Caenorhabditis elegans: one gene and its partner. The protein of the gene in region 1 purifies or fractionates together with the protein of each later gene. This does not show direct contact. Each region holds a gene or a part of one and is shown on either strand. Other genes may lie near its edges.

Region 1 (5,145 bases):
AAGATCCACGTTGGAGAACAGAATGCTTTGACCATCGTAAATGAGACAGCTATCAGACGTTCTGAAGAACTCCTCATAATCGCCAAGAGCGCGAAACAGAATCGCACAGCACTTTTCGTCTCTCAGTAACGACGAAACTGAAACATATTATGAGCAAGGTTTAAATAATGCGGTAGCTTACTCATCCTTTCCCTTCTTGGTGAAAGTAACTTCATTCCCGTTTTTCAGTTCCGTCGTGATGTGAACGCTGTACTGATAGAACAACGAGTCCTGGTGCATCTCGATTCCGAATACGTTGGTTTGTATTTCGGCCTCAACGCCACATTTTCCTGGTTCAGTCGGTGCTGGATACAGCTTTGCAGCTGGAGCGATCTGAAATTTAACAAATTAGAAGGTTATGAAACCGATTAAACGTACATTGAGCTCTTCCAGTCTCTTGATGCAAGCGTCGTTAGACGTCTGATACTCCGATCTTAGCGGTTGAGTTGGAACTGGAACTGGTGGAACGGCAGGTGGTGCGTGGACGCTCGATGGAGCTCCAGAAGGCGTGTAGACTGATGGAAGGGCTGGCATCTTTCGATTTTGTCCTGTAAATTGATAATTAAAAGTAGTGTAGGAAGTATAGAAAAAAATGCGTTGATATATCAAGGAGGTGCGACATTAATATTTGAAACAAAAATATAAAAATAACACACAAAACGAGCATCGAAAACGACAAATTCCGCGAAAAAGGGGAAAAGAAAATACGAAATTGAAAATCGCGGTAATGTTTCGTATCGGTATAGGTTCAAAAGTGGTAGAATTACATAATTTATTACTAATAAATCCGTTGAATGATAAAAATGATAAAGCTCATATATTTAACATGCGACCTGCCGGTCCGAGAGTAAAACGAAGAAGTGACGATTTCCTTGCGCGGTGTCGACGTGTTGGGGTTTGATGTGCATGTGTGGTAGTACTGTAACACTCGTGACGTGTGTGTCTTTTGGCGCGGCTTTCAAACAGGAGTTTCCCGGCTTTGTCGTTGTTGATGACTTCCGTGGATTGTCGTGAGCATTTAGAATACGGAAAGACTTCGTAATAATCATAATAATTCTTTAATATTTCCTTGACGCATTTCCTGGGTATTAATATCATTTCTTAAGTCGTGATCGGCGGAATATCAGTATTCTGCGTATTCGCGACACTCCCGGCCCCTTCAAAAATGGCTTATTATCAGCTCGTGATACTAAGCAAGACCCGACCATTTCCGTTACCATTTTACTTCTTCATTTCTGTGTTCATTTGCTTTTGAACCCCTTACTATAAAAAGTCGTGATAGGATGAATATGTATATTCTCCTTCTTCGCGACAGGTAATCCTAAAATTCTGGGTTACTGTAGGTGACTTTCGCTGTGAGACCTTCACTAGAATTCAAATTGCCTCTCACAACGACGTTCCACCGTTACGCCTTGCGTCTTGTTTAACGTAAATCCACCTGAACAATTTCGTAGAACCAATTTTCTTTCTTTTGCTTTTTTGCTTTTCCTGAATGGAATAAATTGAAAATATCTTTAAAAGTTTTAATATTTAACAAATTGATAATTTTTCACTGTTACAATAATCTAATGTTGAATCATCCGTGTAGAAATATCTTTAGGCCTGGTTCTGTATTGATTTTCCTATTTATATTTGTATCACTCTTGTATTTCATTTGATTATCGGTTTTTTCTTATAAATGTTAAGAAATAACTAGTAAATTCAATTTTGCAGACTCAGAATGGCCGATGAGGACGATTATCAAGATATGGATAATGATGATTTCGTTGACGACAACGAAATGGAGGACGTGATCGAAGAAGATCCACAACGCCCTGACAATGAGGACGAGGACGATGACAACGTGGACGAGAATTTCGAGCTTTTCGATCAAGGAAAGGCTGTTCCGACTAGTGAGCATGTGACAACTCCATTCATGACAAAATACGAACGAGCTCGAGTTCTTGGCACTCGCGCTCTCCAAATCGCCATGGGAGCTCCGGTTATGGTTGAACTTGAAGGAGAGACCGATCCATTGGAGATTGCTCGCAAGGAGCTTAAACAACGCCGTATCCCGATCATTGTCCGCCGCTACCTTCCAGATGGATCATACGAAGACTGGCCAACCGATCAACTTCAACTCGCTGATTGGTAGAGAAATGTTTCTCTAATTTTTCCTCATTTTAACTGTTTCACCTTTTTTGCTCTCCTCATTTCTGATCTTACACTCTCATTTTTATTTTGTTCCGTTCGTATTATTCTCTTTCTCTCTCCTTGTTGACAATGTTATTTGAAAATTAATGAATAAAATTTTAGATTCAACTCGAACAACGGGAAAGATGGTCGCTTCGCAAAAGTTCTCTGATGCCGAAATCGACAGCTTTGGAGAGGCATTAAACGACACAAAGTAATCTTGTAGATTTTTTTCCAATTAATAAATGAAAATTTTCAGGAAACCTCTGAAAGCTCGTTTCCGAGCTCTATTTATTCTCCGGAATATTGGATGTGATCGTTCTGTTGACTGGATTGGAAAATGTCTGAATGACGAATCAGCACTTCTGAAGCATGAGTTGGCTTACTGCTTGGGTCAAATGCAGAACAAGCACGCCATTCCAACACTTGTGAGTGTTCTTGAGGACGAGAAGCAAGAGCCAATGGTCCGCCATGAAGCCGGTGAAGCGTTGGGAGCAATTGCTGATCCTTCAGTCAAAGATGTCCTCCGAAAATATGCACAAGATCCGTGTCCAGAAGTTTCCGAGACATGCCAAATTGCATTAGGAAGGGTGGAATGGGTTGAAAAAAGTGGAAAGGATACCAACAGCCCTTATGATAGCGTTGGTAAGCGATTCAATTAAACATATTTTGCTTATAAAAGTTTAATTTGTAGATCCAACACCATCAGCTTCAACATCCGACGTCGAAGAGCTCGCAGCCACTCTGATCGACGCTTCACTTCCACTTTTCGACAGATATCGTGCGATGTTCAGTCTAAGAAACATTAAGACAGATAAATCCATCAAAGCTCTTGCTCAAGGTCTCTACTGTGAAGATAGTGCTTTGTTCCGTCACGAAGTCGCATACGTTTTAGGACAACTTCAGTCGCCTGTTGCCACTCAAGAATTGAAGGATCGTCTTCTACTGTCAACTGAAAATTGCATGGTCCGTCACGAATGTGCTGAAGCTCTTGGAGCAATTGCCAACGAAGAATGTACGGAGATTTTGAAGCAATACGTCAATGATGAGGAGCGTGTTGTTCGAGAAAGCTGCGAAGTTGCCTTGGATATGGCTGAATATGAAAACAGTGATGATCTACAATACGCTCACGTTTAATAATTTTTTGTTGATTTCCTCCTGTTCTTGTTCATTGTTTTGTTTTCCAGTTTTAATTAAAAATTTCACCTAGTTTGTGATCCAGTTTCTAATTCAATTTACGTTTTGTCGAAATTTATCTACTTTTACCAGATTTCTCCCGGAACTTCAGACAAGTTTTACAGAATGAAGCCGTGTGGAAACCTAATGTGCCAGATCGCTCGCCGACTTCCGGCTCGCCAGCTGCATATTTCGAGACGATCCAATTCCCAGTTAGCAGATGTTGGAACTCTTTCCGAAATTGAGATGCCAGTTGCCAAACAGCTTAATATGAGAAATCATCTGCCAGCTCCACTTTCTAAACAGATGGATACGTTGGGAGAAGTTGTTACCTTGGTTAGTCGGCGATAATCAATGGAATATTATATTCAATAAATATATTTTCAGATCCGAGAACCAATGGCAGAAGTAGCAAGCTGTATGCGAGTTGTGGATAAAAGTCTTCCAGCTCTTCGCCTCGTGTTATGGGGAGCTTTCGGAACCGGAAAGTCGGTTACTCTCAATCAAGCTGTTCATCATGCTTATAATAATAAATGGGCAATTGTTCATCTAAGAAGTGCAATGGAGCTGACAAGAAGAGTAAAAGAAATTGAGATGTCATCTTTTGTACAAGGCCGTATCAATGATCCATCGAATTCTGTTTCTATTCTCCAAAATTTCAAGCAACAAAACCAACATATCTGGAAGATTCTCGGAGAGTTGCTCACTGAAAGAGATTATGAATGGTCGAAAAGTGAACGAACGTTGAAAGGAAAACCTATCACTGAAATTATTGAAATGGGAATCTCTGCTCCGTTCCTTGCCAGTGATTGTGTTGGTGCAATCTTCCGAGAGCTCCGACGCCACGCAAAAGATGACAAACTGAAGGTTCTAGTGGCGATTGATGATGCGAATTCTCTGTGGGGAAAAACTTTGGTGAAACGAGCTGATAGAACCTATGCACCACCTTCGGATCTTACTCTTGTTGTACATTACCGGCGAATGATCGAAAATGATTGGACTAATGGATGTGTTCTGATGGTTGCAGATAAGAAAGAGGTTGCAGACGCCAGGGATCATCTCGGAGTCTCCAGGCACACTCCATTGGAATTGTTTGGAGAAGAAGGATTTGAATATGTTGAGGTAAAATTGAAAGCATATATATTATCTTGAAAACTAATTTTTCAGCCATTCGTTCCAATTGAAACGTCAAATTATACGGAAGCCGAAACAGATGCAATCTATAATTACTATGTGAACAAGAACTGGTTAGCATCAAAAGCAGGTGAGAGACCGCCAATCCCATTATATTGCAATTTCCAAATTGTTTGCAGCTCGTAGCGAGGAAGGAAGGAAACAACTTATGCATCTCAGCGCATTCAATCCATATTATTACGAGAGGCTTTGTGCGTTCAACTGATTTAAATCATTATAATTTACGTTTTTTGTTGAGTGTTTCTGTTTTTTTTTAATTTTTAGGTCTCTAGTTTTATTTGTTATGAATAGAGAATGAAAAATAATGTTTTTATTATACAACTGGCCATTGTTTTTGTTGTTCGTTGTTCCTGTTCTGATCGGGATTTCATATTTATTCTCTGTATCTTATTCTATTTTTATTCATCAATTTCCAGATCCAGATCTCCATGCTCCAGCTGAAACCTCGAGTTTCGGCATTAACCCGGCTTTCAGCCGAGGTTCGATCTGCATCGCAATGGATCAAAGCAAGGTATTTGAATTTTAAATTTTGTAAAATATATATTTAATATGATTCATTTTCAG
Region 2 (9,487 bases), 1.4 Mb from region 1:
CAATTGAGCACTCGGAGCACTTCTTTTATACGAAAAATGTTTGTTTGTCTATTAAAGTGACTCAAAAAGTCATAAAAGGGGTTCTGAAATTCTGGAAAAGTCTGAAAAATTCTCAGAAAAAAAACAAGAATTTACGACCGTATAGGCAAATAGTTTTCAGAGAATGTCAGTTTTGAGAAGAGTCATGAGTTTTAGTGTATTATGTGCAGTGAGTCAATTATACAAATAAGAACAGGAAAATACTGTTATAGAATTGGATTTGGTTTTTTTTTTTAATTTTTTAATCATTGTTGCAAAAAAATTAGGAAAAAAACATATATTACGAGAAGACAAAAATCCTGAGAAAGCATATCGCCTAACATATCTCTAAATCTAAAAATATCTCATAGCGAAAACTACAGTAATTTCATGAAGGACTACTGTAGCGCTGGTGTCGATTTACGGGTTCGGTTTTCGAATTTTCTTTAGTTTTTTCGTACTGTTTTGTCCTTTTTTGTGTTTTCTTTCGATGTTTCATCGATTAATAAATGATGCCCGTAAATCGACACAAGCGCTACAGTACAGTGGATGGAAAACGATTTTTTCCGGCCAATCGGCAAACCGGCAAATCGGCAAACCGGCAAATTGCCGATGTGCCGAATTTGCCGGAAAACTGGAGTTTACCGAAAATTTTCGGCAAATTGTAGTTTCGCACTTATGTTTTTGGAAATTTCAGAATATCAATTTCAAATGACAAAATTAAGCGCATCCTATGAATGTTCCTACATCTATTTTGAAAAGTAAGCAAATTCTATGAAAATATGTAGAAAAAACGGGAAAAAAATTCATAAAGACACAGTTTTAAGTGTTTCCTTATAAAAAATCCCTCTAAACAATTCTGGCAAACGGGCAATTTGCCGGAATTAAAAATTTCCGGCAAATCGGCAAACCGGCAAGCAAATTGCCGGATTTGTTACAATTTTTTGAACAGCTAATTTTTTTTTGAACTTTTCAGAAAAAATTGAGGAATTTTTTTGAAGTTCTTTGAAAAAATCTTCAAAAATTCGATTTTTCGAAATATTTTAATTGTTTTCTTGTCCCGCAAATCATTCGTAAATTAAAAAAAAGTAATATTAAAGAATCTGTATTAAGAAAATAACAAACAAGTGAAAAAGTCAACAAAACAGGTAACAATGAAAAAATAGTTTTAAAAATTGGGGGAAAATTTGGCAAAAATTCCTAATCCTTGTGTCCTTCATGTTTTGCAAAAGTTTCAGCAACCAAAAGTGGGAATACAAGTGTCGCCTCAGCATGAACCTTCACAGCTCCAGCCGACGGCTTAACCTTCCCCCAGCTCACTGCCTCGTCGGGTTGAGCTCCAGAATCGGAGCCATCGAATTCTTGGCCGGTGTTGATGTAGACGGTATGATCTGCGCCGTTTCTCATGAGATTCGCGTTGTTGATGTGGTGTTTTACGACTCCTGGAATTGTAGGATTTTTTGACAAAAATGGGGAAAAATTCTGGAAAGCATTTTTTTCAAATTTTGTGAATTTGATTTTAAAAAATTAGTTTAAATTCTTTTTGTTTAAAGTCCAAATTTTTTTTTACATACTCAGCTTTTTTTCAAAGAAATTTTACGTTAAAATTTTCGAGAAATTTTTTTATTTTGGAAAAAACTAGAAAAAAGTGTATGAAAATTAAATTTAACAATAAATTTGGAAAATTGCTTTCATTACTATGGTATTTTCAAATTCAAAATTCAAAGTTTAATTTTTTTCTCAATTTTTTTCAATAATTTTTCAATCTTCAGAAAACTGCAAAAAAAATGTTGGAAAATTCATAAAATTTTTGAGAAAAAATTAATTTAAAATTTCTAAAACAGGGTTTTTCACATATTTTTTTTAATTTCGGACCTCCTCCTAAAATAATTGATCCAGTCTTGAAACTTTTGACAGCAATTGTATTAATATGTCGAACGTCCTCTACAATATCCACACGAAGCCCAGGTGAGCTTTTCACCGAATGGAAGTACAACATGTCACCTGAAAAAATTGACTAAAATAAAAATTTTTTGAATTTTTTTTTCAAATTTCAAAAACTTTAACAATTTTTTGCAAATTTTGTTTAAAAATAATGCAATTTTTTTTTTCGATGCTCTCTTATAAAAAATCCCTTTAAACATTTTCGGCAAATCGGCAAAACGGCAATTTGCCGAAAAAAAATTTTTTCCGGCAAATGGGCAAATCGGCATTTTGCCGGAATTTAAAATTTCCGGCAAATTGGCGGAATTTAATATTTCCAGCAAATCGCTAATTTGCCGAAAATGAAAATTTCCGGCAATAGGCAAACCGGCAAATTGTCGGAATTAAATATTTCAGGAAAATCGGCAATTTGCCGAAAATGAAAAATTACGGCAATCGACATATTGCCGGAATTGAAAAATTTTGGAAAATTTGGCAAATTGCCGGAATTGAACATTTCCGGCAAATCGGCAATTTGCCGAAAATGAAAAATTCCGGAAATAGGCCAACCGACAAATTGGCGGAATTTAATATTTCCGGCAAATTGGCGGAATTTAATATTTCCGGCAAAACGCTAATTTGCCGAAAATGAAAATTTCCGGCAATAGGCAAACCGGCAAATTGTCGGAATTAAATATTTCAGGAAAATCGGCAATTTGCCGAAAATGAAAAATTCCGGCAATCGACATATTGCCGGAATTGAAAAATTTTGGAAAATTTGGCAAATTGCCGGAATTGAACATTTCCGGCAAATCGGCAAACCGGCAAATTGGCGGAATTGAAAATTTCCGGCAAATCGGCAATTTACCGAAAATGAAAATTTCCGGAAATAGGCCAACCGACAAATTGGCGGAATTTAATATTTCCGGCAAAACGCTAATTTGCCGAAAATGAAAATTTCCGGCAATAGGCAAACCGGCAAATTGTCGGAATTAAATATTTCAGGAAAATCGGCAATTTGCCGAAAATAAAAAATTCCGGCAATCGACATATTGCCGGAATTGAAAAATTTCGGAAAATTTGGCAAATTGCCGGAATTGAACATTTCCGGCAAATCGGCAAACCGGCAAATTGGCGGAATTGACAATTTCCGGCAAATCGGCAATTTGCCGAAAATGAAAATTTCCGGAAATAGGCCAACCGACAAATTGGCGGAATTTAATATTTCCGGCAAAACGCTAATTTGCCGAAAATGAAAATTTCCGGCAATAGGCAAACCGGCAAATTGTCGGAATTAAATATTTCAGGAAAATCGGCAATTTGCCGAAAATAAAAAATTCCGGCAATCGACATATTGCCGGAATTGAAAAATTTCGGAAAATTTGGCAAATTGCCGGAATTGAACATTTCCGGCAAATCGGCAAACCGGCAAATTGGCGGAATTGACAATTTCCGGCAAATCGGCAATTTGCCGAAAATGAAAAATTCCGGCAAACCGGCAAATTGCCGAAAATGAAAAATTCCGGCAAATTTGCCAACAAATTCTTTCAAAAAATTCAATTTTTTTTCCAATTTTTCAAAATCTTTGAATATTTTTTTTTGCAAAATTGATAAATTAAAAAAAATCTATTTTCAAAGTTTTTTCGAATTTTTTCTCCAAAATTCGATTTATTTTTCAAAATCCAAATTCAAAATCCCCTACCCAATGACCCATCAGTAAGCGCCGGACAAAATACGGGAATCCGATGCTTGGCCGCCCAATACAGTATCGACGATTCATCACCAATCCGTTCACCAAGCCGTTGAATAAGCTTTGACGGTGTCCAATTGAGATGCTTTTCCTCTTGTTCAACAAGACATTCATCAAGAATTGGCATAAGCCAATCCTCAAATGCACAATAATTATCATTCGGAATGAGCACATTGCCGGCTCGATTCATTCCATTCGATCGAAGTTTTGCACCGTCCATTGTGAATGTACCGAGGTAGGAAGGTTTGAGACATTTGATGAGATCCTCTTCGATGCCTCCCGCTGATGTTACGATACAGTCGACTAGGTTACGTTGGACACAATAGCGGAGTACCTGGAATTTTTAATTTTTCATTTGGGTGGATTTACGAATTTAGAGTGAATTTACGGTACCTTTATGTAGATTTACGGGGAAATTTCAGGTTTTGTGTAGATTTACGAGACGCTAATTTCGGTGTAGATTTACGGAAGTATATGTTCTTGTGTAAATTTACGAGAAATAACAGCACATTGAATTTGAATTTAAAAATTTTTTTAGAGACGGTTTGGTGTGGATTTACGGGGGCATTTTAGTGTAGATTTACAATATTTCTTAATGGATTTAGGCTTCTGGGCCAATTTTAGAATTGATGTGTAGATTTACAAGGAGAATCAGTTCTGTGTAGAATTACGGTGAGCATAGTTTTTGTGGGTAGATTGACGAGAAAGCTGAGTATTTATTTTCCTGTGTAGATTTACGAGAAGTATTAATTTTTGTGTAGATTTACAGGGAAATTGTGTTTTTTTTTGTAGATTTACGAGAAGCAGGATTTTTTAGATGTAGATTTACGACGAATACAAATTTTATTTAGATTTACGGGGAATTTGAATTTCTGTGTAGATTAACCAGGAAATTCCGTTTTTATGTAGATTTACGGAGAAATTCAATTTTGTGTAGATTTACGAGGATCAATTTTGTGTAGATTTACGGGGAGATTCAGTTTTGTGTAGATTTACGGAAAAATATATTTTTTCTTGTGTAGATTTACGGGGATTGGTGTGGATTTACGGGGACATTTTAGTGTAGATTTGGGTCATTTTTAGAGTTGATGTGTAGATTTACAAGAAGAATCAGTTATGTGTAGAATTACGGTAACCATAGCTTTTTAAGGTGTAGATTTACGAGAAACTTTGATTTTTGTTGTAGATTTACTTCATGTAAATCTAATTTGTTGGTAGATTTACATGAAGCACTAGTGTTTCAGGTGTAGATTTACGAGGACTTTCAATTTTTGTGTAGATTTACGGGGAATTTTAATTGTTTTTTCGTAGAATTGCGGGAAGCACTAATTTTTCACGTGTAGATTTACGGGGAAATTCAGTTTTCGTGTAGATTTACAAAGATCAATTTTGGGTAGATTTACGGTAAACATAGTTTTCGTGTAGAATTACGAGGAATTTCAACTTTTGTGTAGATCTTTTGTAGATTTACGGACCTCACGAAGCCCACTGGTCACCAAATTCGACGTGTATCCGAGGAAAATAGTACATGATCTCTTTTGCCGACCTTCTGGATATGGGAAAAGCTTCTCGTCGTCGTCACAAGTCAACGGAGTATCACGGAGGGAGAGCATTTGATTTACTTGCTGAAAATTGGGAAAATTCGGAATTTATTGAGTAAAACAATTTTTTGCTGCTATTTTTCCAAATTTTTTGTAAAAAAAATTATTTTTTGAAGTTAAAATTCTTCCAGAATTTTATTTTAAAAAATCTATAAGTCCGACTATTTCAAAAATTAAAAATAAAAATTTTTGCGATTTTTTCAAAATTTTTTAAAAATTTAACTATAAGTTTAAAAAATTTTTATTTGGAATTTGAGAAAAAAAAATAAAAAAGGTCGACTTTCTCAGAAAATCATAAAAAAAAGGAAAATTTCCGCCTAAAAAATGTAAAAAAGCATTTTCGAAATACATTTTTTTATGATTTTTTTCTAATTTTTTCTTTTTTACATTATTTTATGTTTAAATATAATTTAATTTCAACTTTCCCAGAATTTTTTTTTTTTTTAATAAAATTTTTTTTCGATTCAAAAAAAATCAATAAGTCTGACATTCTCAGAAAATCATTAAAAAACCGGGAATTTTCGAATTAAATTTTTTTTTCGAAATTTTCAATTTTCCTTCTGATTTCCAAATTAAATCTGAATTTTTTGCAACTGGCTACCTGAATAGCCTGAGCCAAATGTGTTGCCTGAAATCCTGTGCTCATATAAGACGAAAGAATGGCGGAAAGCGAGAAATCCGGACCAGAAGCCGTGCTGAAATCGAATCCGCGAATCGGAATTGAACCATCCGGTACTTGACATGATTTCACGAGAACTGCTCCCTGAGCAAGTGCTATATCCTCCTGAGATGCTGCTGCTTCGTTGGTGCTCATTTTGGAGCAAGTTTCTGAAAAATTGAGGCGGGTTTTTACTGAATTTACTATTAGTTAGGTGTAAAATTAGACAAAATATTAAAATTTTTTGAAAAAATCCAAAAAAAAAAATACAATAAATCAAATAAAATATGATTGAAAACTGAATTAACAAAATTTGTACCAAAAAAAATCGGAAAAAAATGAATAAGCATAAATTTATAGACATTTTAGCAGGAAAATAGAAATTAAAACCGGAATGAAATCACATAAAATCAAATCAATTTACAATAAAAATGCCGATTTTTATACAATTTTTTTTAGCAATTTAGATTTCGTAGTTTAGAAAAAATTCAGAATTTTTTTTTCGAAAAAAAAAACAACTTTTTTTTGGTTCGATTTTATAAAGAAAGTTCACAACAAAAAAAAACCAAAATTTGTTTGAAAAAAATAAAAATCATCGAAATTCGATTTTTGTAAAATTTCTCAAAAAAAATCCGTAATTAATTCAAAAATTCTCAATTCGTTTAAAATTTAAATTGTGGAAGTTTTTCCGAAAACAAAAATTCCGAAAAATGCCAATTTTTTGAAAAATTTCGCTTTTTTGGAAATTTTACTTTCGTAATTTTAGAATTTTGTTCGTTTCCATAATTAAAATTTCATTGAAAATCATTTAAATTCTTTTTTTTTTCAAAAAATCTGTAATTAATTCTAAAAATTCTCCCAGATTGTGGAACTTTCCAAAAACCAAAAAGAAAGTTTTTTATTCGAAATTAAGATATTTTTTCTAAATTAAAACAAAATAATTTTTTGATTTCAAAAAATTGTCATTTTTTAATTTAGAAAAATTTAAAACGAATAGAGTATTTTTTGAATTAATTATTTAATTTCGGATTTTTTTTTAAATTCGATCGAATTCAGATGATTTTTAATCAAATTTCAGTTTTTTTTTCCAATTTTGTACATTTTCTGAATTAAAAAATAGTAAAATTCCTCAAATGTTCATTGAAATTTCGAAAAAAAAAATTCTGAAAAAAATTCTTTTGCTAATTTTTTCCATAAATACAAATTACAAAATTTCTTTTAAAAAACACTTTTTCTTGTTTTTTTTTTTAATTTTTTTTCCAAAATTTAGATAATTTTACAATGAAAAAAGCTTAAATTTTCAAGAAAATTATATTAAAAAACCAAAAAAAAAATTAGAATTTATTCTTCATTTCTCTCAATTTGGCCATTCCCACGACCGCATCGCATGTCCCAATCGATTTTTGAATTTCCTCAGATTCCCGTACCCTCATAAATGGATTCGTTGCTTTTTCCTCAGCTACAGTACTCGGAACCGTAAATCCACCCTGCTCAATTTGTCGTTGAGCCCACTCGAGCTTCTGAGCAGCTTTCTCGTTGCCAGGTTCCACGTGGCACGCGAATTTCAGGTTGGCGACAGTGTACTCGTGTCCCGGAAATATTTGGGTCTCGACTGGAAGATTTTTGAGAATTTCGTTGAGTGCCACGTCCATTTGTGGTGCCGTGCCCTCGAAGAACCGCCCACAACCGGCGATGAATAGGGTGTCACCGGTGAAAACGACTCCAGGGGAAGTGGAATCTGCGGCAGGATTTGTGATGTGGTAGCAGATGTGACCGGATGTGTGACATGGAGTGGATAGACATTTTATCTGGAAATTTTAGGAATTTATTAGAGAAAAAAAGGATTTTTAAATACTTTTTAAAGGTTTTTTTTCGGATTTTTTTGGATTTTTTTTTGTTCGATTTTTTTTTTAATTTTGGATTTTTTTTGTTTGATTTTGCAAGAATTTTTTGAGGATTTTTCGGATTTTTTAATACTTTTCAAAATTTTTTTCGGATTTTTTGAAATAATTTTTTTGGATTTTTAAATACTTTTTAAAGGATTTTTTTTTGGATTTTTTAAAAAATTTTTTCGAGGATTTTTTGGGACTTGTTTTGGAGTTTTTTTGGATTTTTAAATAATTTTAAAAATACACCTTTTTTCTGTTTTGGAATATTTTTTTGAAATTATTTAGGGTTTTTTTTTTGGATTTTTAATAATTTTCAAAGGATTTTTTTGTTAGATTTTAAAAGAATTTATTTTGTTGGTTTTTTTAAAGAATTTTTTTTGGAATTTGGAATTTTCTTTTGAATTTATTTAAGAAATTTTTTTGAATATTAAAAAAAATTGCAATAATTAATTGCAATAAAATTTGCACAATTTCAATCATTGTGTCATTTTTGTAAAACAATTTTTGAAAAAAACCGCAATTTTTGATTTTTGTTGAAAATATCTGATTTTAAAACATTTTTTCACGAGAAAATATTCAGAAATTCAAGAAGATAAGGTTTTTTTTTAAACTGGAATTTAAGAAAAACTGCAGCGATTTTTTAGAAAAAAGTTAAAATCTGCAATTTTTTCCGTTTTTTTTGCTGAAAACTGCTAATAAATTTTTTGAATAAAAAATTCCAATTTTTTTATTATACCAACAAAAAATCGATTTTTTTTTTGTAGAAAAAGGGTTGAATTTTCAAAAAATTTTCAGCAACTTCTGGAAACCCCAAGTTTTTTTATTATTTCAAAAAATTAAAATTTCATGCTAGGTCTTCTAAAAAAACCAATATTAAAATTTTGGAACAAAAAAAATTTAATTTTTTTTTCAAAAATCAAATTTCAAAAAAATAACCTGAAGCCCAGCGAACTCTGCCATATCACCATGCTTCACGTGCCGATCCATTGCCGGAATCCTTGAATCTCCACCGAGAATCATGACATTCGGGAATTGACGACGAAATCCTTCATTTCCACCACAATGATCATAGTGGTGATGGGTGGTTAGTACTGCTGTTATATCGATCTGTAGGAGAAAACAAATTAATTATTGACAAAATTTTTATGGCGAATAAAAACTGTTTAAAATGGAAAGTGAATAATGGGAAAAAAATCATTTTTTGGAAATTTTTTTTAATTGAAAGTATTTTTATTTTATTTTTAAATAAAAAAAAATTCTATTAACCCTATATATGCTCCTGATACCGAATATCGATCTAAAAATATTCAAAAAAATTTCCCTGATTTTATATTAATTTTTAAAAATCCGAAAATCCATTGGTTTGTTAATTTCAAACTACAAATTTTGAATGATAACTGTGCCGCAGGTGTGTGGATTTACGAGATTAATATTTTTAATTCATTTTTATTTAATTTTCATACCAATTTTCCCGATTTTTCTATTTTTTCGTTATTTTACATTGAAATTTCTTGTGAGCTCCATGAATTTTTTATTGATAGAAACAAATAAAATTACATGAAGTATTATATTTTCAGATATTTCATTTAAATTTTATTTATTTTTATCAATAAAGTAATAAATTAATGGAAATCACAAAAATTTCAAT

The links. The genes of interacting proteins can lie anywhere in the genome.
Region 2: the proteins of dohh-1 (region 1) and dhps-1 fractionate together in Caenorhabditis elegans (co-fractionation; one large-scale study listed by BioGRID). This does not show direct contact.

The regions. Positions count from the first base shown.
Region 1 is NC_003280.10:10,577,621-10,582,765, forward strand, and holds dohh-1 (Deoxyhypusine hydroxylase), read left to right. Parts: upstream 1-2,334; 5' UTR 2,335-2,357; coding exon 2,358-2,425; intron 2,426-2,470; coding exon 2,471-2,856; intron 2,857-2,905; coding exon 2,906-3,348; 3' UTR 3,349-3,425; downstream 3,426-5,145. Other genes in the region: rpb-6 (putative DNA-directed RNA polymerases I, II, and III subunit RPABC2), read left to right, coding at 1,760-2,173; dap-3 (Small ribosomal subunit protein mS29), read left to right, coding at 3,514-3,723, 3,775-4,509, 4,555-4,651, 4,701-4,786; mrps-22 (Mitochondrial Ribosomal Protein, Small), read left to right, coding at 5,010-5,092.
Region 2 is NC_003280.10:11,989,634-11,999,120, reverse strand, and holds dhps-1 (Deoxyhypusine synthase), read right to left. Parts: upstream 6,121-9,487; 5' UTR 6,107-6,120; coding exon 5,894-6,106; intron 5,317-5,893; coding exon 5,167-5,316; intron 4,026-5,166; coding exon 3,644-4,025; intron 2,023-3,643; coding exon 1,894-2,022; intron 1,461-1,893; coding exon 1,219-1,460; 3' UTR 1,111-1,218; downstream 1-1,110. Other genes in the region: Y17G7B.3 (hydroxyacylglutathione hydrolase), read right to left, coding at 7,285-7,758, 8,776-8,946. UniProt on the Caenorhabditis elegans protein: Catalyzes the NAD-dependent oxidative cleavage of spermidine and the subsequent transfer of the butylamine moiety of spermidine to the epsilon-amino group of a critical lysine residue of the eIF-5A precursor protein to form the intermediate deoxyhypusine residue.